Linked DNA regions of Diceros bicornis minor. The protein of the gene in region 2 purifies or fractionates together with the protein of the main gene of each other region. This does not show direct contact. Links are inferred from orthologs where the notes say so. Each region holds a gene or a part of one and is shown on either strand. Other genes may lie near its edges.

Region 1 (7,653 bases), on a different chromosome or scaffold from region 2:
CAGGATACCCACTTACCCTCCATGTCAAGGCTCAAAGGTCACCTCCTATGTGAAGCTCTGGTGACCACCTCCCCTGGGTCCTGATAACCCACCCTTTGTTTATGACACTTAGCACACTGGCACCTAAGTGGCTGTTGGCATGTCTTTTCCCCACGGACTGTGAGATCCCAGAGAGCAGAGATTCTGTTGAATTCCTGGTTGTCTCTGTACCTCCCAGCACCTGCCCTATAGCAGGAACTCAATAAAAATGGGGAGAACTGCTCTGCTGGCCAGGCCAGTTAGTGTTTTCCTGAGCAGGAAGAAGCTGCCCATTTGATTTCCCCAGTGCCCGGTGCCCCTCAGCCCCTACCTTGTTCTTACGTCCATCGATCTCAAAGAAGGAGATGGTGCCCTTGCGGTAGATCTCGTTGCCTGGAGGATGTCGCAGGTCACACTTGGTCTGAGAAAGAGAGGGGGATCAGGGGTGGAGGGAGGGTGGGGGGTGCTAGGAGGGCAGCCTTGTAGGACGCCTCATACCAAGTGACGCTGCAAACACTTGAGGCTCCGGCCGTATTTGAGACAGAACTCGCAAAGGTAGAGGACAGGCAGCGTGGTGAGCTCCTGCGGATACGGGGAGAAGTACCACGGCTTGAGGCGGTGCCGGCCCAGCTCAATACACTCAATGTTCTTCATCCGGGTGACGATGTCGTCGTGGCTTCGGTCAGACACCAAGCTCCCGGTCATGCGCGGAGCCGACGGTATTCCATCTGAGCTGTCCTGGGAGTCCTGTCCAGGGCCAGTGGAAGATACTAGATTACAGGAGACAACTCAAGCAGGACACTTTACAGCTCACACAGCCCTCCCAGCGGTTTCCTTATTCAAGCCTAACAGCAACCCTATGGCAGAGGTAGTACAGTCCCCTTTCCAGATAAACAAACTAAGACTTGGGAAGTTTTCATTCAAAACTTGGAAAAGATCACCCAATGCCTGATCTGAACGAGCTCTGGCTGGTTCTTTTTTTTTTGCTGAGCAAAATTTGCCCTGAGCTAACATCTGTGCCAATCTTCCTCTATTTTGTATGTGAGTCACTGCCACAGCATGGCCACCAACGAGTGGTGTAGGTCCACACTCCAGAACCAAACCCGGGCCGCTGAAGCGGAGCATACTGAACTTAACCACTAGGCCACTGGGCTAGCCCCATCTGCCTGGTTCTTATTCCCACCAATACCGTAGTTGCCCACCACCCCTTGTTTATTTTTAAACTAGTCACTAAACACTCCACCCTGCCTGTGTCCTCCACTTTTCACACAGCTTCTCTCTTCCCCAGACCCACCTCATCAGTGCCCAAGCAATTCGATTTGCGCTTCCGTCCAGGCTGAGCTGCCACTGCCCTACGGGCTGATCCATTCTGCAGGCAAGATGGTAAGAAGAGAAAGAGTGGCTGTGAGATGAGCCTGAAAGGGGCCACCAGAGGGCAGAAGAAAGGCAGGGGAGAAGAGATGGTTTGGGGGACTCACCTGGGGAAACACTGAGGTCGGGGCTGTCTCGCTGGGCACTGGAGTTGCTGGTGAAACCACCTCCACCTTCCGTTTCTGTAGAGAGAAACCAAGAAAGGTGGGTCAGAAGGTAGAGAAGGTGGGACCTGAGAGGAAAGCAAGGTCCCTGGAATTGCTGAGGGTACCGTTGAGCGGTGGTTGGGCTGCAGGCAGGAGCTGGAGGAGAGCGGCTGGTCGGGCTCGCCACCGGGAATGGCCTCCCGCTCCTTGGGCAGGTTGAAGCGGAGTGTGATCTGGACCGGGATTGGCAAGGTCTTCCCGCTGGCCTGGGCGGAGGCCGGCTGTAGAGATAGGTCCAGGGTCTTCCTCTGGGGTGGGGTTGGCGGTGGGATGGAAAAGGGAGTAGGGGCCCCTCAGCGTGAAATGATTAAACCCCACCCTCTGCCCTCTCAAGGACATAGGAAGAGCCACTGGACTCGAAGCTACATCTGTAATTTGGCCCCTGTCCTTTGCCAGCTGAAGCCAGGGTGGGAGAGCACTGCCTCCTGCCCATCCAGGAGCCACTGAGGCCAAGAGATGAGAGAAGTAGGAGGCAGAAGAGAAGAGGTGAAGCAGGGGACCTACTCACCACCTCTCTCTCTGGAGAGCCGGGGCGGGACCCAGGAAGTCCGTTCTTGGTGGGGGTCTTGGCCTCCTTCTTGGGGAACTGGATCTTCTTTAGGTCCAGCCGCTCGTGGGTCACCCATTCATCCAGGCGTTTGTTGACTGCAGCAGTGGGGATGGCTCAGGAGGGAATGCCAGAAGCTGCCCCCCAACCCTACCCTGCAGCCCCGCCTCACTGCAGCCCAGAACTCACAGTCAATGTAATGGACGTAGAAAAGCTTCCGGCCACTGATGTCCTTCACGCTCAGGATCTCGGCCAGGGCTGTGGGAACAGCACAGACGGCGGCCTTAGACAGGCCTGGCCATAATGCTCCACCCTCCTACGACCTGAACTCCACCCCCAGGCCGAATCTCTAAGCCCCAGCACTTGGAAGCTCTCGCCCAAGCCCCCGTTAGTCACCAAGTGCCGCCCTCTCTCCAAGCCCCGCCCTGTCCATCCCGGAGCTAAAAGGCACGCCCCTCCTGAGTATCTGCGCCCCGCCCGCCCCAGGATTCTAGAGGCCCCTCCCCCTCCCGAGGGTTCGGTTGACTCTCTCCCGCCCCTCGCCCTTAGGTTCCTTAGCCCCGCCCACCCGACGTCACTCACGCCACTCATCTTCGTTGTCCTGGTTCCGCCGCAGCACGGGCAGGCGACAGCCCTCGATTATCTCCCCCTGGGGAGACAGCGCGGCGCCAGGGTCGGCTACTGGGGGGCCTCGGGCTCTACCCACCTCCCCTGGCTCCCTCCGCCCCGCCCCGGGCACCGGACTCACCACCTCCGCCATCTTCCCTCCCTCCACTGCCACTTCCGGCCCCTCTGGGAGACGTCACTTCCGGGACTGAGCGCGCTGTAGGCCTCGGCCTCCCAAAGACGCTTTGGAAGAGGACCCTTGGGAGACACCGCCGCCCAGGTGGAAGCAGGGAGCCGGTCTGCCTGGGTGGCGGGAGAATGGGGTGTTTTAAGTCTCGGGCCGGGTCTTGGGTGGAATCCCCATAACGTGCATAGCGATTGGAGGAAAGCTGAGTCCGTCACGTGACGCCCACCAAGTGCGACGCCGGTCACGTCGCTGCGGGTCACGTGCGACTAGTGTTTGTGCTTTGGGGGCGGCCGAGCTCGGGCGTCTCCTAGTGGCACTGGGAGGTCTCGCCGGGAGTGAACTGCGCGTGCTCGGCGGGGGGCGGGTCTGGAGGGTTTGGGAGGCTGGGGAGGTGGGCGGGACTGGGAAGGGACCTCAGTACCTGGCCAAGTTTATGGACTTCATTTCTTAGGGATGGAGACTCACGGAAGATTTCTAGGTTTGCTGTTTTGTATATTGGGTTTCTAATTTTAAAAGTAGTGTGACGTCATTCATAACGTTCAACAAATGTTTAATGGTCCCCTACCATGTGCCAGGCGCTATTCTAGGAGCCTGGAACACATCAGTGAATAAAGAAGCCTGCTGTCATGGAGCTTACATTCTTGGGGGTTGGAGGAAAAAGAGGGATATAGATAATAAACAATAAATATATTAAAAAGTAAATTATTTAGTTTATTAAAGAGTGATAAGTGTTATGGGAAACAAAAAAAAAAATGCGGAAATTAAGGGAGATGGGTAGGTAGATGGCAATTTTGAGTAGGGTGCTCAGGGCAGACCTGGATGGAAGTGTGTTAGTTGAGCAAAGGTTTAGAGAGGTGAAGGGATGAACTGTGCAGTTACCTGCGGGGAAATTGTTCCAGAAAAACAGACCACAGTAAGGGGAGAAAAGTATAACCTCAGATCATCAGGGGACGTGTCCACAGGGAATATTTTGGTTGAGTGTCTCTTAGACTAGGGGTGGGCAAACTATGGCCTGCAGGCAGAATCCAACCCTCTGCTGGTTTTCCTGCAGTCAATGGGCTAATAATGGTTTTTATGATTTTTAACGGTTGGGGAAAAATCAAAAGAATATTTTGTGACACCTGAAGATTATGAAATTCAAATTTCTACGTCCATAAATAAAGTTTTATTGGAGCTACCCCCTCATTTACATTTTGTCTATGAGTCCTTTCATATTAAAACAATAATCGTGCAGGAGATATGGCCCACAAAGCCTAAAATATTTACTGTCTGGTCCTTTACAGGAAATGTTTGCCAACCCTTGCTTTATAGACTGTTGTGCTGTCTGTTTAATAAAACAGAAGCTCTTACTGTGTGTACTGTTCTGTGACCAGCTTGTTCACTTAGCAACATAAATTGAACACTCGTCACTAAATATTCTATAGCACTGTTTTAATGGCTACATAATGTTTATTGTTTAGATGCACCCTGGCTGCCATTACCAATTTCCTGTTGTCGAATATTCGTTATTTCCAATTTTCTCCTCCTACAAACAGTGCCATAAAGAGCATCCTTAGGGCCGGCCCCATGGCTTAGCGGTTATGTGTGTGCACTCCACTGCTGGCGGCCCGGGTTCGGATCCCGGGTTCGCACCGACGCATGGCTTCTCCGGCCATGCTGAGACCGCGTCCCACATACAGCAACTAGAAAAATGTGCAACTATGACATACAACTATCTACTGGGGCTTTGGGGGAAAAAAATAAATAAAAAATTATAAAAAGCATCCTTATATACACAACTTTCCACATATTCATCCCAGCATGGTTTGCGTTGAAGATCTAAGTGGGGAATGACTATATCTGCATTTTAGAAAGATCACCCTCGTGTCAGTGTCCTTGGATTGAAGGAGATAAGACCAGAACAGGACCAATCGGAAGGCTGTTGAGATCGGCCATTCACTGATAACAGTCAGTACATGTTCATGCAGGGCCTGCTATGTATGGCAGTTAGCAAAGTTTCAGTCCCCGCCCCCTTGTCAAAGTCACCAGTGACCTGCACATTGTTAATCAAATGCCACTTCTCAGCCCTCTTATCAGTGGCATTTGGCATGGTTGGTCACTCCCTCTTCCTTGAAACACACTTTTCCTGGCTTCCAGGATACTGGCCCCTCCTTACAGTTTCCTTCCAACTTCCTTAGCTGCTCTTTGTCTCCTTTGCTGGTTCCTCTTCCTGTCCGTGACCTCTAAACATTCAGAAATCCCAGAAATCCCAGATGTTCAGTCCTGGACTTCATCTCTGTATCCACTCTCAGTCCATTCATGATACCCTGGAGGCATGATACCCTGGCTTTAAATATCATCCACATGCCAAGGTTTTTCAAATTTGTATCTTCAGCCTGGATCTCTTCCCTGAACTCAGCTCTCACTGTCCACTCAGCATCTCTATGCGGATGTCTAGAGGGCTTGTCCAAAACCAAACTCCTAATTTTCCTTCCCAACCTGCTCCTCCCACCATCTTTCTTGTCCCTATCAGTTTCTCAGACCAGAAACCTTGAAGTGCTGTGACTTCTCTGCTTCTCTCACATTCAACCAGGCGGCAGATACTCCAGGCTCCGTCGCTTCTTCGGCCTTCGCCACTACTACTGTGGTGCAAGCTACCACCGTCTCTCCTCAGAACTGTTGCAATAGCCTCATACATAGAAGCAAGAGGAATTGTTAAAAAATATAATTCAAACCATGTCACTCTGATGATCAGAATCCACTAATGGTTTGTCATTTACTCAGAGTAAAAGCCAAAATCTGTATATGGATCCAGCCCCTGTTGCCACTGCCTCTGCTTCTCCTTTTGTCCCCCTCGCTCACTACATTCTAGTCACACGGGCCTCCCAGTGTCTGGGACATAACAGGAATCTTCCTCTCTCTGCTCCTTTGCTGTTTCCTACCTGCAGCGTTTCTCTCCATTTATCCACTTGGCTTACTCCCTCACCTCATTCAAGTCTTGGCTCAAATGTCACCTTCCCAGTGAGGCCACCTCTGACCTCCCTAGTTAAATCTGCCCACCCCCCACCCACCGCATCTCCCTCCCCCTGCCCTTCGTTTTCCTACATACCATTTATTCCTAGCTGTCAAATCACATATTTTCCTTATTCACTTGTTAACTGTCTGTCTTTCCCTCACTAGAAGGTAAGATCCATGAACATGGTATTTATATTGTTTGGTCCAGTCCTATTTTCACAACTTCTCGAATACTGCCCAACTCATAGTAGGCGTTCAGTTAAAAACTGTCAAATGGATGAAGCACGTGGTCTCGCCGGGGAGCCAGACATTCCAGAAAGTGAGGATAGCAACAGCAAAGAGAGAAAAAGAGGAGAAAAAAACAACTGGTGCACAGGGCATCAGTCTTGCACCAGCATTAATTGAGCACCAACTGTATGCTGCACCCTGCAGGAGCAACTTGAGTGAAAACAGATGAGGCCCCTGCTCTAGTGGGACGAACAGGAACAGTTAACAAAACAAAGCAAAAGTAATCCCTCTGGATGGTGGTAAGTGTGGTGACGATGATGAGCAGTGTGATCTGGCCGAGAGTGAGGAGCTGGTCCGTGTGGGCCTCTCTAAGGGATGTCAATCAGATTCCCACTGCCCGCTAAGAGTCTCAGGATGCCCTGCTCCAACTGGCTTAATGAGGGAATGTCTTGGTCCACGTGACCCAACAATGTCACCAAGACACAGTTTCTGTCTTTCCACTCCCGCCTCCCCAGGTCTACCTTCCTTCTGCGTTAAGGTGGACTCCTCCTACGGTCGCAGGACAGCTGCCCACAGCTCTGTGGCCTACACGTGTCTGAGGAGAAAATCTCTTCCCCAGCTATGGAAAGAAAGTCCTGGGCTTCCCTCAGATTGAACCATTTTAGGGCATGTGCCTCTGCCTCAGCCAATCCCTGTGGCCAGGGGGATGGAATTCCACTGGTTTAGACAAACCAGGGCCCACCCGGAAGCCGGGGCAAGTCAGCGGCTGCAGCTGGGAGAGGATGGAGCAGCTGTTGGGAGGCAGCCAGGATGGCCACTGCAACAGATGACATGTGACCTGAGACCTGAATGATGAGGAGGGACAGCCTAAGAAGATCTGGGGGAGGAGTGTTCCAAGCAGAGGGAATGGCAAATACAGAGGTCAAGTTCAGCATGTTCCGGGAAAGAGAAGCCAGTGTGGCTGAGGGGGGATGATAATCCAGGAGTCAGAGAGCTGGCAGGGCCCCATCACGGGGCCCTTTATAGCATCTTTGTAAGGAAGTCAGATTTTGCTTTAAGTGCAATGGGAAGCCATTGGACAATTTGGAGCAGGAAAATAATGCATCTGATTAAAGCTTTAAAAGCTGTCTCAGGGAATGAGGGTTGTTGGGAACATGACATGAGTAGCAGGCTGAGGACAGCTAGAAAGTTCTTGCTGCCCTGAAAGCAAGGATCGGAGGTGATTGAAGATTGAGGTATGACCAAAAGCATGGTGAGAGAAAGGGGCCAGGCACGGACCAGAAGATGGGGGCCTGATCCTGTTGGGGATCAGCACTTCTCCAGCTGGGAGTCTCAGATCCTGCAGGAGGAGAATCCTTATTCCAAGAACTAATTGTCCCTTCAGAAAAAATGAATGTGGATTTCTGTTTTCCAAATGCACGTGCTGCGGTTATGCTTGATAAGATCCAAATCCATTGAAATGCTTGCTGAGTTCAAAATGGGGGTACAGGCTGCTT
Region 2 (6,950 bases):
TAGAATGATTTGAATTTTATCTTGTGGATGATGAGAAACCACTGAATGATTCTCCTCTTTCTTTTCATTGAAGGATTTATGTACCAAAATGTTCAGAGTTACAATTTTAATGTTCAGTTACAATTTTGAAAGATCACAGTGCAGCAGTTTGAAAGGTGGATTGAGAAGGTGAAGAGACAGAAGCACAATACCTGTAGGGAACTGTAGTAGTTCCCTGTTAAGAGTCTGAATCAAGGCAGTGGCAATGGTGTTTAAGAGGAAGGAATTTCAGAAATATTTAGCAGAGGGCTGGCCCCGTGGCTTGGTGGTTAAGTGCGCACGCTCCACTACTGGCGGCCCGGGTTCGGATCCCGGGTGCGCACCGACGCACCGCTTGTCTAGCCATGCTGAGGCCGCGTCCCACATACAGCAACTAGAAGGATGTGCAGCTATGACATACAACTATCCACTGGGGCTTTGTGGGGGGGGGGGGGGAGGGGGAGTGGCAATAGATGTTAGCTCAGAGCTGGTCTTCCTCAGCAAAAAGAGGATTAGCATGGATGTTAGCTCAGGGCTGATCTTCCTCACAAAAAAATAAAAAATAAATAAATAAAACTGGGAAAAAAAACTTAAAAAAAAGAAATATTTAGCAGAAATATTTGGCAGAACTTGATGAAGGGTATGAAACATGAAGGCATTCACGATTCTCAGGTTTGTGCCTCTGATGACTGGGGACACTCACTGTAATAAGCCCTGCTGAGATCAGGTTGGGCAGGACAGGGAGAAGAAGACAGTGCTTCAGATATGTCGAATTTGAGGTACCCATGGGACTTCAGGTGGAACTGATGTTGATGTACATAAGAAGTCCGAGATATGGCTCTAGACAAAGGTGAGGGCTTGAGAGAGAGATTTGAGATTGGAATTACTAATATTTAGATAGAAGTTGGGGCTGTAGGAGCGGAGCAGATTACCTAAGAAAGGGTAAACTAGGAGCGGGGTCTCTGGCCTCCCCAAGGAGTCCAAGCATAGAACTATATTTTATTATAATTGGTTTCTTTTATAATCTATTTAAAAGCTTGAAAAATGACCTATGGAGAAACCAAAAACCTTTTTTTTTTAAATGGGAAACAGTTTTACTGAAATGCCTTTTCATCTTCCCAGAGATTCTTACTCCCCACTTACTAGAAAGTTATATAACTTTGGACTGGTTACTTGATCTTTTCTATACCTCGTTTTCTTCTTCAATAATATGGGAATAGTAGTACCATCTCCTGCGGTTGTTGTGGATTAACTGAATTAATGTATGTTTTAAATAAATTCCATGAAAAGCCTCTGGAACAGTTCTTGGTACACAGCATGCAATCAATAAACGTTAGCTGCTGGCATTATTCGTACCCATTTCTACCTCAGTCATATTAAACAAGGCCTTGTAAGGAAATACTCAATAGACAGCCTCTAGGTGCTTGGATCAGGGAACCTGCAGGTCAGTAGAGCCCACGGCCCCCATGAGGCAAAGGCACGTAGATCCAGTTTTTCTGTCAGGACTGCATCTCAGATGGGGAAGAGGGAAATCATGGAGATCCACTAGGCTTTCTCCAAAGTAAAAATGGGAAACTACTGACTCTCACATTTGAGAAATCAAACCCAAGAACACTAACGCGAAGGAGGGGGTGAGCGTCAGCATCTCACCTCAGAAGAGACTCAAGCTACACTCTAAAGACTACTAACAACTTTGAAAACTTTATTTTTATCTCCTACCTATAAAATGCCATCCTCTTCCGAAACAGTATCCTTACTAGACACAATAACAAAAGCAACACTTTGGATTTGTCTCCTTGTTCTGTAACTCATCAAACACAACACAAAACACGAATCAAATACATCGGTGCTTCATCTAGGTATCTCGCAAAACCGGAGGCTCTGATTCAGTAGATTTCGAGATGGGCTTGAGATGCTGCATCTCCGAAAAGCTTGCAGGTGATGCTGACACCGTTGATCCATGGACCAACATCATCTCACTTAACCTTCGCAACCACCCCACTGGGTAGGAACCATCATTCCAAAAATAAGGAGCCTCAAGTTGGGAAAAGTTAAGTAACTTAACTTGGCCTTTGCCCGAGGCCAAAGCGCTAAACAAACGGGGAGGCTGGTATTACAACCACGTCTGTGTAACTCCCAGGCCCGTAGTAATCTGTCTATCACACCACTGCCTATCCAAGGAAAGCATCCTTAAATTACTTGCGTTCCTAAATTAATCCGAACAAACCCGCCCCCGAGTAACTCTGGAGAAGCCACACTCAACAGACAGGCAGAAGTTACTGGAAGGTGTGAAGCCGGGGGCGGACGGACAAAAGGCTGCGTCCTCAGTGGCCGCCGCTCCTCCGACCAGTTCCACCTCCCGCGCTCGCTTTACCGTCTACGGGACGGCGCGGAAACGCTCCGTCCGCGCTTGCTAAGTGCTGGGACCTCCCAAGTTTAAACGCGCGCGCACGCGCCCCGACAGCCGAGTGATGGAGACACTGGGAGAGACGCGACCTGGGGCCGGTCACTCAAGCCGGGGCTCAGCGGGCCGGCCCCCTGGATGGAGCTGCCAACACAGCCCCGAGGCGGCGCGCACCCCCGAACCCCTGCTCCTCCGGGGGGCGAGGCTGGAAGGAGCCGCAGGGGGCGGCGACTCCGGGCGCCCGAGGCGCTCGCTGAGCCGGGTGGGCTCCGGGGCCGGGCGGAGCGCGGGGCGGGGATGGGGCGGGGAGGCCGGGGTCCCGAAAGGGGGAGACCGGAAGGGGCCGCCGGGGAGGGGAGGGCTGGGGGCGGCGGTTACAAACCCTACACGTTAAAAAGGCGCGCTCTCTCGTCCGGCCGCACACTCACCTCCCCCGTACACGCCGCCGCTCATGGCTGCTCTCGGCGCGACTCCTACGCTACAGGCTACCGGGCGAAGTGACTGCAACGGCCGCGACTGTGGGCCCCGAGAAGCGCTAGCCCCCGACCCCCTTAACTTCCACCGCTACCCTGCTCCGGCAACAAAGCAGCGTCCACACGCCCCAGAGCGCAGTCACACTTGCTGTCTCCGCTTATCAGCCAATCACTAGAGGACCGGCTACGCTTCAGCCAATCAGAACGAGGCTGTGCTGCATCCCTGTCGCGGCACAGCCAGTTTACCCAATCGAAGGCAGCCATGGGGGCGGGGAGAGGGGAAAGCGACGGAAGGAGAAAAGGAGTTGAGTTGCGGAACTGGAGGGGGGCGGAGCTTCCCAGGTGGGTGGGAGAGTGGGGTGGAGGGAGCGGGAGAGGGAGGAGGAGGGAGGGAAGTGACGGGGGCGGACCCAAGGGTAAGGCTGAGGCGAGGAGGAGAGATGGGAATCCAGTGGGGATCTGGTGGACGAAGGTGAACCTCTGCAAAACGGAGTCAGGAAATTGAGAGAGAGTGTCTCCACGCAGTGATTCCTGGTTTTGGATTGCGGTGAATGCAGAATTTTTTTTTTTCAGAGAAAGTGTTTTCAACTAACTTTTGTATTGAAGAAACTGAAATGTTATGCTCCATTTTGGGGTAAGAGGAATCGGTAAATCAGACAAACCGATAGGATCTTGTAATTTTTAAAATGGTTATTAATAATTAAAAGAAGAAAAGGATGATACGCTATCCCAACTAAATTTAGGTAGCACTTTAAAAATTATTTTTAAAGGTGTGATCAATTTATTTTAGCCTGTGAGACAGGCATAAAACAGTGTAATCAATCATCCAAGCGAGTACCCAATCCTAAATACATCCCCAGTCTGTCTACTGTTCTTAGTTCCCCGTTTCTCCCAGCCCAGTCCAGATCACCGGTGTCTCTCTGCTAGATGACTACAATGGCTTGTCCCTTTGCCTCTTGGCCAGCGGCAGGCAGCAGCTTGATCTATAAAAACACCCAAATCTGGTCATGTCACTCCAACTCAAATCCTTAAGATTGGTTGTATATCCTTGTTGTTGATAGCAGTTCTTAAATGGTTTGTCTAGAGTCTAAACATACCGTATAGGCTCCTCTTAATCTTAATCTAGGAACAGTTGAATAAAGCCGGATTCATCGTGGTGCCAGCAGCTAGTAGAAAGTGATAGTAAGGTGGGCAACAAGGCTAGTGAGAAAACCTCCATTCATTTAATAATATAATCTCAGTATATCTGATCATTTAGGAAATCCCCATTAACCCAGTGACATAATGCAAAGGTCAGCAAACTATGGCCTCAGGGCCAAATCCAACCTGCTTTCCGTTTTTTTATGGCCTGGGAGCTAAGAATGGTTATTCCATTTTTAAATGTTTTTTTTTTTTATAATTTTTATTTATTTATTTTTTTCCCCCAAAGCCCCAGTACATAGTTGTATGTCATAGCTACACATCCTTCTGGTTGCTGTATGTGGGCTGCAGCCTCAGCGTGGCGGGACAAGCGGTGTGTTGGTGCACGCCCAGGATCCAAACCGGGGCCGCCAGCAGCAGAGCTCATGTACTTAACTGCTAAGCCACGGGGGCTGGCCCTAAATGGTTTTTAAGAATGTTTTTAAGGATAATATTTTGTGACATGTGAAAATTATATGAAATTCACATTTCAGTGACCATAAACTAAGTTTTCTTGGAACACAGCCAAGCTTATTCATTTATGGCTGCTGTTGCTCTGTAAGGGCAGAGTTGAGTAGTTATGACAGAGACCATGTGGCACACTAAGTTGAAGAACATATTTTCTATTGGACCCCTTATAGAAAGCGATTACCCACCCTGAGATAATGCATATAACACGTCCAGCACAGTGCACCAAGTGCTCTGTGTTAACTGTTGCCCCCATGATTATAGCTCTCACTGTAGGCACATATCAAACCCCCAAAATATTTCTATTTCCACTTCATGTTTTTGGTTTTTCTCTTTTTGCTGAGGAAGATTCACCCTGACCTAACATCTGTGCCAGTCTTCCTCTATTTTGTATGTGGGTTGCTGCCACAGCATGGCCACTGACAAGTGGTGTTAGGTCCACACCCGGAAACTGAACCTGGGCTGCCAAAGTGGAGTGCACCAAACTTAACCACTAGGCCACAGGGCCGGCCCTTCCACTCCATGTTTTTTTGTTGTGTTTGACTAATAAAGCTGATGAGTTCTAAAATATGTGATACTTTGGTAATAATTAAATATTGAAGAGATACTATTTGTGTTTATAATACACAGTAATCCATTTAAACCAATTTACCATTTAAATGCATAGTAATTCATATATAGCAACTTAGATTATATGTATTAATATCTCTCATCAGTACTATCTCCAAAATCTCCTGTGCATGGAGAAATAAGATATATTTGGATTGAAAAAGAGTAAAACATTTGTCCCACTAGTTCAGAGTTCATCAGAAAACAAAACAGTTCAGTGGGGTTAATGAGGACCACACGCCTAGCCTTCAGGAAGGCTTGAGATGCTGCGACTGACTCCTCCCACAGAGAACACACTGGAGTGCCGAGAATCTTCAGTCTGACAGCACAAAGAAGACAGCTTGAGAAAAGACTGGAAAGTCAGGCTTCAATATTTTTGCTTAAAGGAAGGGTTTTGCTTCATTTGATAATTTGGAAAGATATTAGAAAACAGATCATTCATTCAATCATAATTTCAGGTCAGCTGTTCTCTTGATGTGTTATTGAACACATTACTTTATTTAATAACAAACCATTGAAATGAACTTCAAATGAAATGAACTTCAGAGTACATCTGATATGTCAGGACTAATCACATGTTAATGCAGATAAAAGTGCACACTTAAACCTCTCATAAATGTTAATCAGCAAAAGATGTAATAGGGCGCTAAGATTATTGACCCTAAAGTATTGAATTGCTGGAGGAAGACACTGTTGAGAAAGGAAACGTATTCAGCATCCTAAGAGAACAATGTCGGGGACTGGCATCCTCAGTGATGTTTCCTTTGAGGCAAGACGTATACTATGGCACCTTGTTTTCTTCCATTCTTCAGAGTTAGGAAAAATGCTAGAAAATATTTTAAAAGAAAAATACTGACCCAGCAGAATCTACTTTATAAAATATAAAATATCTGAGGGGTGGTTTTTTTTGTATTAATATTCCTCCTCTGTAACCTAACATGTTTTCTCCCAAGTCTTGGCTCATTATTGGCTCATTAATGTAAAGCCTACATTAATGCTACTGATAGCTAGTCATATTTAAAAACAACAACAACTCAAGGTTACTGCCTCTGCGTCAATTCTCAAGGGCATAACATACCAAAACAATCAATGCTTGCTACTTTCCTCCCGGAGCCAGCATATTCCGTTTGTCAACCTAAAAATAAAAGATATTGAAGTAACATGTATGTAAACCTATCTAGCCCCCAGTAGATGCTCAGTGGTTGACTCAGAATCCAGATCTATAAAAATAAGTGCCCTTTCAGAAATCCTTTGTAATCTTCCAGCATCAAGAATTTCCTCTGTATACGCAGTGCAACACTTAGTTTCGCCTCACGGGGTCGCTGGTCTTCCATTCTTGTAACGCTGCACTAGAATGCATGTAATGCTGCCCCCTCCTCTTTTCACCAGCTCTGTTCAGATTGTGGAAACACAGCAGTCATTACAAAATGTTACTGATCTTGTCCTCTGTCTTGGCCTTCATCAAGTTCAGAGTTGAAAAAACATTGCAACTGTTATTAATGCCAGCTGGGAAACATTCAGGGGATTATCATTAAGAAGAATGACACAAAAATTTGTGTACATTTAGAATCACTCTATTTCATGCTGCAAAAAAATATGACATTAGTAATTATGAAAAACAAATTTCAATGTAAACATTTTTGTGTGGATGTGTGTGTGTAAAGAGTCACTGCAAGTACTATCCTTTGTGTACTGACATTCCAAAAATATAACAGTCATGCAAGCACTCCTGAGATAAAGGATAAAGACCTGGAGTCTGGAGTTTTTCACCAATAGAAATATGATCACTCAGATTCATA
Region 3 (7,132 bases), on a different chromosome or scaffold from region 2:
ATTTATCAACAAAGCCTAAATGAACAGGTTCCTAGACTAATTAATCTGTTCACTCATTGAGCAAATATTTGCTGAGCACCTACTAAGAGCATTTAGAAAACAATACAAAGAAGTTCTCTTTTAATCTGAGATGACCTGGATTTTACAAGTAAGTGTCTATATCTATCTTTTCCACCACATTGTGACTTCCTTAAAGAGAGAGATTATGTGTAGCAATAAAAAAAAAAAATTGGGGTTTGGAGCTAGACAGACCTTCATCTAACCCCGTATCTACCACTCCTAACTGTAATCTTAGAGAAGTTACTTAAATCTGGAGCCTCAGGTTCCTCTCACGTGTAAAATGAAGTAAATAACATCTATTCAGGAAATAATATCAATACCAAATACCAAATTGATATCAAACAATATCAATATAATATTATTCAGGACTGTGGTGAGGATTTGAATTATGCTTTAAGTGCCCAGATATGGGAGATGTTCAGTTGCTCATGAAATGTATGGACAAACCCATCAAAAAAAATGCGACTGCCAACGTCATGTTTCTTTCATATGGTCGCTGAGATGTATGATTCTGAAAATGAAGTATTAGATGCAATAGAAAAGTTTAGTTAAAACCCATCAATCTCGGGCCGGCCCCGTGGCTTAGCGGTTAAGTGCGTGCGCTCCGATGCAGGTGGCCCGGGTTCGGATCCCGGGTGCACACAGACACACTGCTTCTCCAGCCACGCTGAGGCCGCGTCCCACATACAGCAACTAGAAGAATGTGCAACTATGACATACAACTATCTACTGGGGCTTTGGAGGAAAAATAAATAAATAAATAAAATTTAAAACCCATCAATCTGTACACCAAGTAGAGATATACTGTGTACAAAAGAAGCAAAGAAACTTCTGGTTAATACTTTCACCACTCCAACACCACTCTCAGAGGCTGACAGGATTCTAGCTGCCAGACTTAAGGGATATACAATTCTGAATTTGAGTAGGCCCAAGAAATATACTCTGGCTTTATGAAACCCTGAGAAGTCAAACCTAACTTTGTCTTTAAGGCCTTAGCGACACTAAGCCAAGATTAGCCTACTGGCTTCAACACTCTGGAACATATCCCTCAGTCAGCCTCACAGCCACTTCTTCACCCACCCAAACAAATCTCGGAAGGCTTATCCAAGCCTAAAGCTGACCTCTTAAAAAACTGGGCCCAAAGAGATGCACACGGAGTTTGGAGAGATAGAAATGACTATTATTTCCTTTTTCTTTTCCATTCCTTGATATCCAAAGGAATATTACTCCTGAGTATTTTTCTTTGTTAAAGCTATATTGATAAAGTAATACAATATTACATGTCAATTATATCTCAATAAAAGCAGGGGAAAAAAATCCAGACTGGGGGAATAAAAAAACTACATTAAAGTACATTGAATTTAAGACCCAAAGCATTGGCTGAAAGGCACTTGACAAAAAATAATTAATACTTTTAGAATATAAATATATTCAAGTCCCTTAGCCACTTCCAGAAGCTCTACTGCCTACACAAAAAAGTGACCAATATATCACTGTACAAGGAAGAGCAATATTCCTGTCTACTTACATGTAGAGGAGAAAAGTCTACAGTCCCAAATGTGACTCCAAAATTTCAGGGGGAAAAAAGTCAAAGCATCTAAAAATACATCGTAAGTAAAAATATATGTTGTCTCTCACTTCCTAAAACTTCAGGTAAGAATAGTCATTTCTTAAAGTGTAATGTCAAAGGAACCTAAGATTCCTGTCCTTGTCTACTTCCAAAAGTTGGCAGGCTTCACTGAACTGCAGACCCCAAATGAACAGGTTCCTAGAGTACATTACCTTTTCATTCATTCAACAAATATTTACAAAGCAACTACTAAGGGCGAGGCAATGAGTACCAACCATGTTCCAAGACACATTGTAGTGAACAGGCCTGACAAGGTCCCTGTCCCAGTGCCACCGTCTTCAATGGGGGAAGCACAGAACTGAAAAGGGTGTTCCAGAAATTTGGGGGCAGAGGGAAGTATTTTCGGCTGTCTGCTTCATTACACCTTCTAAGGGAGTCATTCCTAAATATTTACATGAAGAGGAAGTTAAGAAACATTTGTTATAAACAAGAGGTTAAGTCACAACTTTCAATACCACTGACTCAGCAGAACTTACATTCCAAAGGTAGGAGAAACAGATAAAGCAAAAATAATCTCAAAAAGTGGTACAAAGAAAATAAAGGTGATATGAAGTGGGGTGATCTACTATAAATGGGGTTCTCAGGGAAGGCCTGAGAAACACATCAGGTACAAGTGAACACTAACTCTTCTACTATCACCAATCATAACCAAAAGTACTATGAAGTAAAAACCGTCGCTTTATAATATTAGCTCTCATCAATACTATAATTCATTATATTAACTTGCTGTTATTAACTTCCAAGTACAATCGTTCACAGTCCTTTAGCAAATCAATAACAGGTAGTAAAATCTTAGCTTACCTGACTTCGAAGACTAGTCTCTAAACAAACTTGAAGCTGCTTTTACAGCTCCGGCTCAGACAGTTTTTAATAATCACTGTTCACACACCTAATGCAGCTAACAAAAGAGAAAGATTCCGAGCCTCCGGGTTGCTGAGGTCGACCTGTTCCTACATACTGGGGTGAGCAGGGGCTTTCGCCCGGGGTGCGTGGGCTCCAAGGAGACGAGCCGCGGGAGCTCCGGGGAGCCCCGGGCCGCGGGCGCCCAAAGCGGACGGCGGGGGCGTGGCGGGCCCCGCGCCGGCCTTTGTTGTCCCTCGTGGCGCGCGGGGGGAAGGGCGGCCGGAGGCCCGCGAGGCCAGTAGCCGCCCCCGGGCCCCGTCGCGTGGCCTCCCGGCTCCCACGGGCGCGCGAACCCACCTTCTTGTAGTGCTTGCCCAGCCAGACCCGCACCGCATCCAGCTGGGACACCGTCTCCGGGCTCTCCCAAAACTTGCTGGCCGGGCCCCCGTCCTTCCGCCGATAGACGGCCAGGCCTGCGGCCGCCGCCGCTGCGCCTCCCGCACCCGCAGCGCCTGCCGCCGCCCCCAGCCCGCCGCCGCCCACCGCCGCGGCCATTCTCGCCGTCCGCCGTCCCCACCACCCAGCCCACCCCGGCCCTCGCCGCGTTCCCCGTTCGCACCCGCGCGCGCGCGCAGCTGCCACCGCCGCTTCCCGGCCCCGCCCAGCCAACCCCCTTCCGGCGCGGAGGCCCGACCCCGCCCCCTCTCGGGACCGGCGCCCTAACCGACGAGGGCACGCGCACACGCATGCGCAGTGCTCGCGCCAGGCGGGCCTCGGGGGAGCGCCTCCACCCGCCTCTTCCGCCATCTGCGGCGGCTTGCTCGACCTCTCCGCTGCCGAGCCTCCGCCTCTGCGCGTCTGGCTGTTTCCGGGGTTCCTGCGTCGGATCGTTGGCGGTCAACAACTGCATGGAGGTTCCCTGTCATCGGCTGCCACTGCCGGAGAGAAAAGGGCTGGTGTGAGAAGTTCCAGAGAGAAAGCCCGTTTAGGGTGTCGAGTGGCGGCAGAGGAACCCGCGAGCGGGTGGGAATGTGCGCCTGCCCTCGCTTACCCATACCTTCTACACAAAGTGGCCGTGTCAGCCTTTGTAGTCACTCACCTGGGACTACCACTCGGAGCTTCTTCGGCCTCACAGCCTTTCTGCCCCTCATGGCTCTAGCCGCACCAGCTCATTCCTGCCTCGGAGCCATCGCGCCAGCTGTTCCCGCGACCTGGACAGCTCTTCCCCTCTAATTGTCACTTAGGCGCTTTCAAATTCATAGCTTAAAGGTACTTTAGAAAAGCAAACCCTGACCATACAATCTTGAACAGGTAGTCATACTCACTGGACATTCTCTATGTAGCACTTACCACGACCTAGTATTTTTCTTTTCTTACTTATCGTCCACATAAATTAAATGAGAACTTAGTCTTGACTTGTTCACAGACGTACCCTCAGTGCTGGGAACAGGGCCTGTTATCTAATACATGTTCAATAAATATTTGATGAATGAATGGATGACGTACACAGGCAGAAAGGTTATAAATTATTAACGAAATATGATTGCCAATTATGAAGTTATGAACATAATGCTATATGACCCCAGAACAGCACGTGACTAATTGCTTGTGAGAAAGCCTGGTGAGTTTTTGAGACCAACTTTTAAGAGTGAACAGAATGTGATCAGGGAGGAAAGGACATTTCACACACATGAAAACAAGTGGAACAAAGGGTAATGCGCAAGTGTGAAAGCATGCTTGGTGCAACTCTCCATAAGACCATGGGATGGAAGCAGAGATGTTACTTGGTTGTGGCAATGATTTTGACTTTATCCTGTAAGCATTGAGAAACCATCTTGAACAGAGAGAATGACATGATCAGATTTATAGATTACGAAGATAATTGCAGCAGTGTGAATGATAGGAGGAAGAAAGAATAGAGAAAAGATGAACTGGTAACAGTCTAGGACAGAAACAATGAGAATGTAAGTAAGATATGGATCTTGCCCTCTAAGAGCTCAGACTTCAGAAATAATGATAATAGCGGGTGTCATGGAACACTGTGCCATGCTCTGTGCTGAGTACACCTACATTACTGCAGATAAGAAAATTGAGGCAGAGAGAGGTCAAGTAACTGGCTAGCAAATATATATTAGAGTCAGGTTTTTGAACTCAGGAATTAGATCCTGGAGTACTATTCCCCTCTCTTCCCAAGGACAATGTTTTCTACTAATAGTGTGTGAGTAGAGCAAAGAAACCACACTGGAAGAGTTCAGAAAGCTATTTCATTTTCTGGAGCCATTAGATCCTCCAGGGTGGTGTTCCAACATTTTTGTTCAAAAAAATTCTAAAATAATTTGGAAAACGATATACTTTCTTCTTTTAGAAAAACATCTAAAATTTTTCATCAAAAATTAAATAGTTGAAGGGCCCGGCCCGGTGGCATATCGGTTAAGTGTGCACACTAGGCTGCGGCGGCCAGGGTTCGGATCCACGGCTCTCACTGACGCACCGCTCGTCAAGCCGTGCTGTGGCTGCGTCCCATATAAACTGGAGGAAGATGGGCACGGATGTTAGCCTAGGGCCAGTCTTCCTTAGCAAAAAGAGGAGGATTGGCAACAGATGTTAGCTCAGGGCTGATCTTCCTCACAAAGAAAAAAAATACTTGAAGAGCATATTAATAAAGACGGACTTTTGTTTTTTGGCAGGGAAAGATCCACCCTGAGCGAAGATCTGTTGCCAATCTTCCTCTTTTTTTTCCCCTCCCCAATGCCCCAGTGCATGGTTGTATAACCTAGTTGTAAGTCCTTCTAGTTCTTTTATGTGAGCTGCCACCACAGCATGGCAACTGATAGACAGGTGGTGTGGTTCCGCAACCGGGAACCAAACCTGAGTGGACAAAGTGGTGAGAGTGGCAAACGTGAACCACTAGGCTATCAGGGCTGGCTCAAGATGGACATTTTTAAATGAAATGGTTCCATCACTTTTTTAAGTTTTTATTTTGAAATAATCTCAAACTTACAAAAAAGTTGCAACTACAGTAAAAAGAACTTTTTCTTTTCCTGAACCATATGTGAGTATATTGCTGACAATCATGTCCATCGCTCTCAAAAATGTTAGTATTTCCTACAGACAGGTATAACCTCTTACATAATCATAACAAAACCATCAACACCAGGAAATTAACTAATACTATCCTCAGATCCCTTTCGAGTTTTCTTCTTGCCCCTATAAGGTCCCCTTATACCAAAGTTTGTTCAGAATCAGGCATTGCATTAGATCAAGTTTCAAGTCTCCTTCAATCTGGAACAGTTCCTCAGTCTTTAACTTGCACCCCATTGACAACTTTGAAGAATACAAGCCAGTTATTTTGTAGAATGTCCCTCAGCTTGAGTTTGGCTGATGTTGTTTATGCTGTGTTCTTTTCATTGCATACAATCAAATGGTGCATGATTTCATTTCTTCCATTACTTAGATGACTTGATGAAGAGAGTATCTGCCAGGTTTCTCTACTATGAAATTATTCTTTTTGCCTTTGTGATTAATTACTATTTTTCTGGGGAGGTATTTTGAAAGTATGTAAATATCCCATTCCTCTTCAAACTTCCCATTTATTTTTATCAGACCATTTAACATTTTTATCAAATGGTTCAAAACTTGACTGAATGCATATTTGTAACTTCTCTAACAAGGAGAAATCTGGCTGCCATTATCCTTACTATATTTACTTATTTTATCAGTTCACCTATATGTAACCAATCTCCATGCTGGACTACCCTCCCATAGAGGTACCCTCCACTCTTCTTGGCTCCTACAATCCCATGCTAAGCTGTCCTAATATGCTTATATCTACCTTGTTCACTCCACCTAATGACTTTAGGACTGAATTGTTTGGGAAGAGATGGTAGGGGAATAGGAAAAGCAAGAAGACATCACTCTTAAACCTAATGAAGTCTAGGGGCCGGACCCGTGGCGTAGCGATTAAGTGCGCGCGCTCTGCTGCTGGCGGCCCAGGTTCGGATCCCGGGTGCACACCGACACACTGCTTGTCAGGCCATGCTGTGGCGGCATCCCACATAAAGTGGAGGAAGATCGGCATGGATGTTAGCTCAGGGCCAGCCTTCCTCAGCAAAAAAAGAGGAGGATTGGCATGGATGTTAGCTCAGGGCTGATCTTCCTCACACACACACAAAAAAACCTAATGAAGTCTAAATATGTAATAATTTGGTGGTCATAGTAGAATACAGAGAGTTCTCTCTTTGCACAGGAGTGCAATACCATAAAAATGACTGTGCAAGGGGCTGGCCCAGTGGCATAGTGGTTAAGTTTGCATGCTCCACTTCAGTGGCCCGGGGTTCACAGGTTCAGATCCCAGGCGCAGACCTATGCACCACTTACCAAGCCATGCTGCAGCAGCATCCCACATATAAAGTAGAGGAAGATGGGCACGGATGTTAGCCCAGGGCCAATCTTCCTCAGCAAAAAGAGGAGGATTGGCAACAGATGTTAGCTCAGGGCTAATCTTTCTTACCAAAAAAAAAAAAAAAAAAAAGACTGTGCAAGCAGAAACTGTGCAAAGCAAAGCTAATAATCAATGGGGAAAATTACAATTATTCCATG

What was found. The genes of interacting proteins can lie anywhere in the genome.
Region 1: the proteins of ACTL6A (region 2) and KAT5 purify together in Homo sapiens (affinity purification with mass spectrometry; 6 studies listed by BioGRID and IntAct, with this or other methods). This does not show direct contact. The link is inferred for Diceros bicornis minor from reciprocal best matches to the Homo sapiens genes ACTL6A and KAT5.
Region 3: the proteins of ACTL6A (region 2) and SMARCC1 fractionate together in Homo sapiens (co-fractionation; 8 studies listed by BioGRID and IntAct, with this or other methods). This does not show direct contact. The link is inferred for Diceros bicornis minor from reciprocal best matches to the Homo sapiens genes ACTL6A and SMARCC1.

The regions. Positions count from the first base shown.
Region 1 is NC_080770.1:7,514,369-7,522,021, forward strand, and holds the start of KAT5 (histone acetyltransferase KAT5), read right to left. Parts: upstream 3,098-7,653; 5' UTR 2,903-3,097; coding exon 2,725-2,902; intron 2,401-2,724; coding exon 2,332-2,400; intron 2,241-2,331; coding exon 2,104-2,240; intron 1,844-2,103; coding exon of another isoform or gene 1,817-1,843; coding exon 1,661-1,816; intron 1,572-1,660; coding exon 1,497-1,571; intron 1,388-1,496; coding exon 1,313-1,387; intron 766-1,312; coding exon 517-765; intron 440-516; coding exon 350-439; intron 1-349. UniProt on the Homo sapiens protein: Catalytic subunit of the NuA4 histone acetyltransferase complex, a multiprotein complex involved in transcriptional activation of select genes principally by acetylation of nucleosomal histones H2A and H4.
Region 2 is NC_080754.1:43,459,541-43,466,490, forward strand, and holds the start of ACTL6A (actin-like protein 6A), read right to left. Parts: upstream 3,009-6,950; 5' UTR 2,876-3,008; coding exon 2,851-2,875; intron 1-2,850.
Region 3 is NC_080741.1:49,080,677-49,087,808, forward strand, and holds the start of SMARCC1 (SWI/SNF complex subunit SMARCC1), read right to left. Parts: upstream 3,098-7,132; 5' UTR 3,089-3,097; coding exon 2,891-3,088; intron 1-2,890. UniProt on the Homo sapiens protein: Involved in transcriptional activation and repression of select genes by chromatin remodeling (alteration of DNA-nucleosome topology).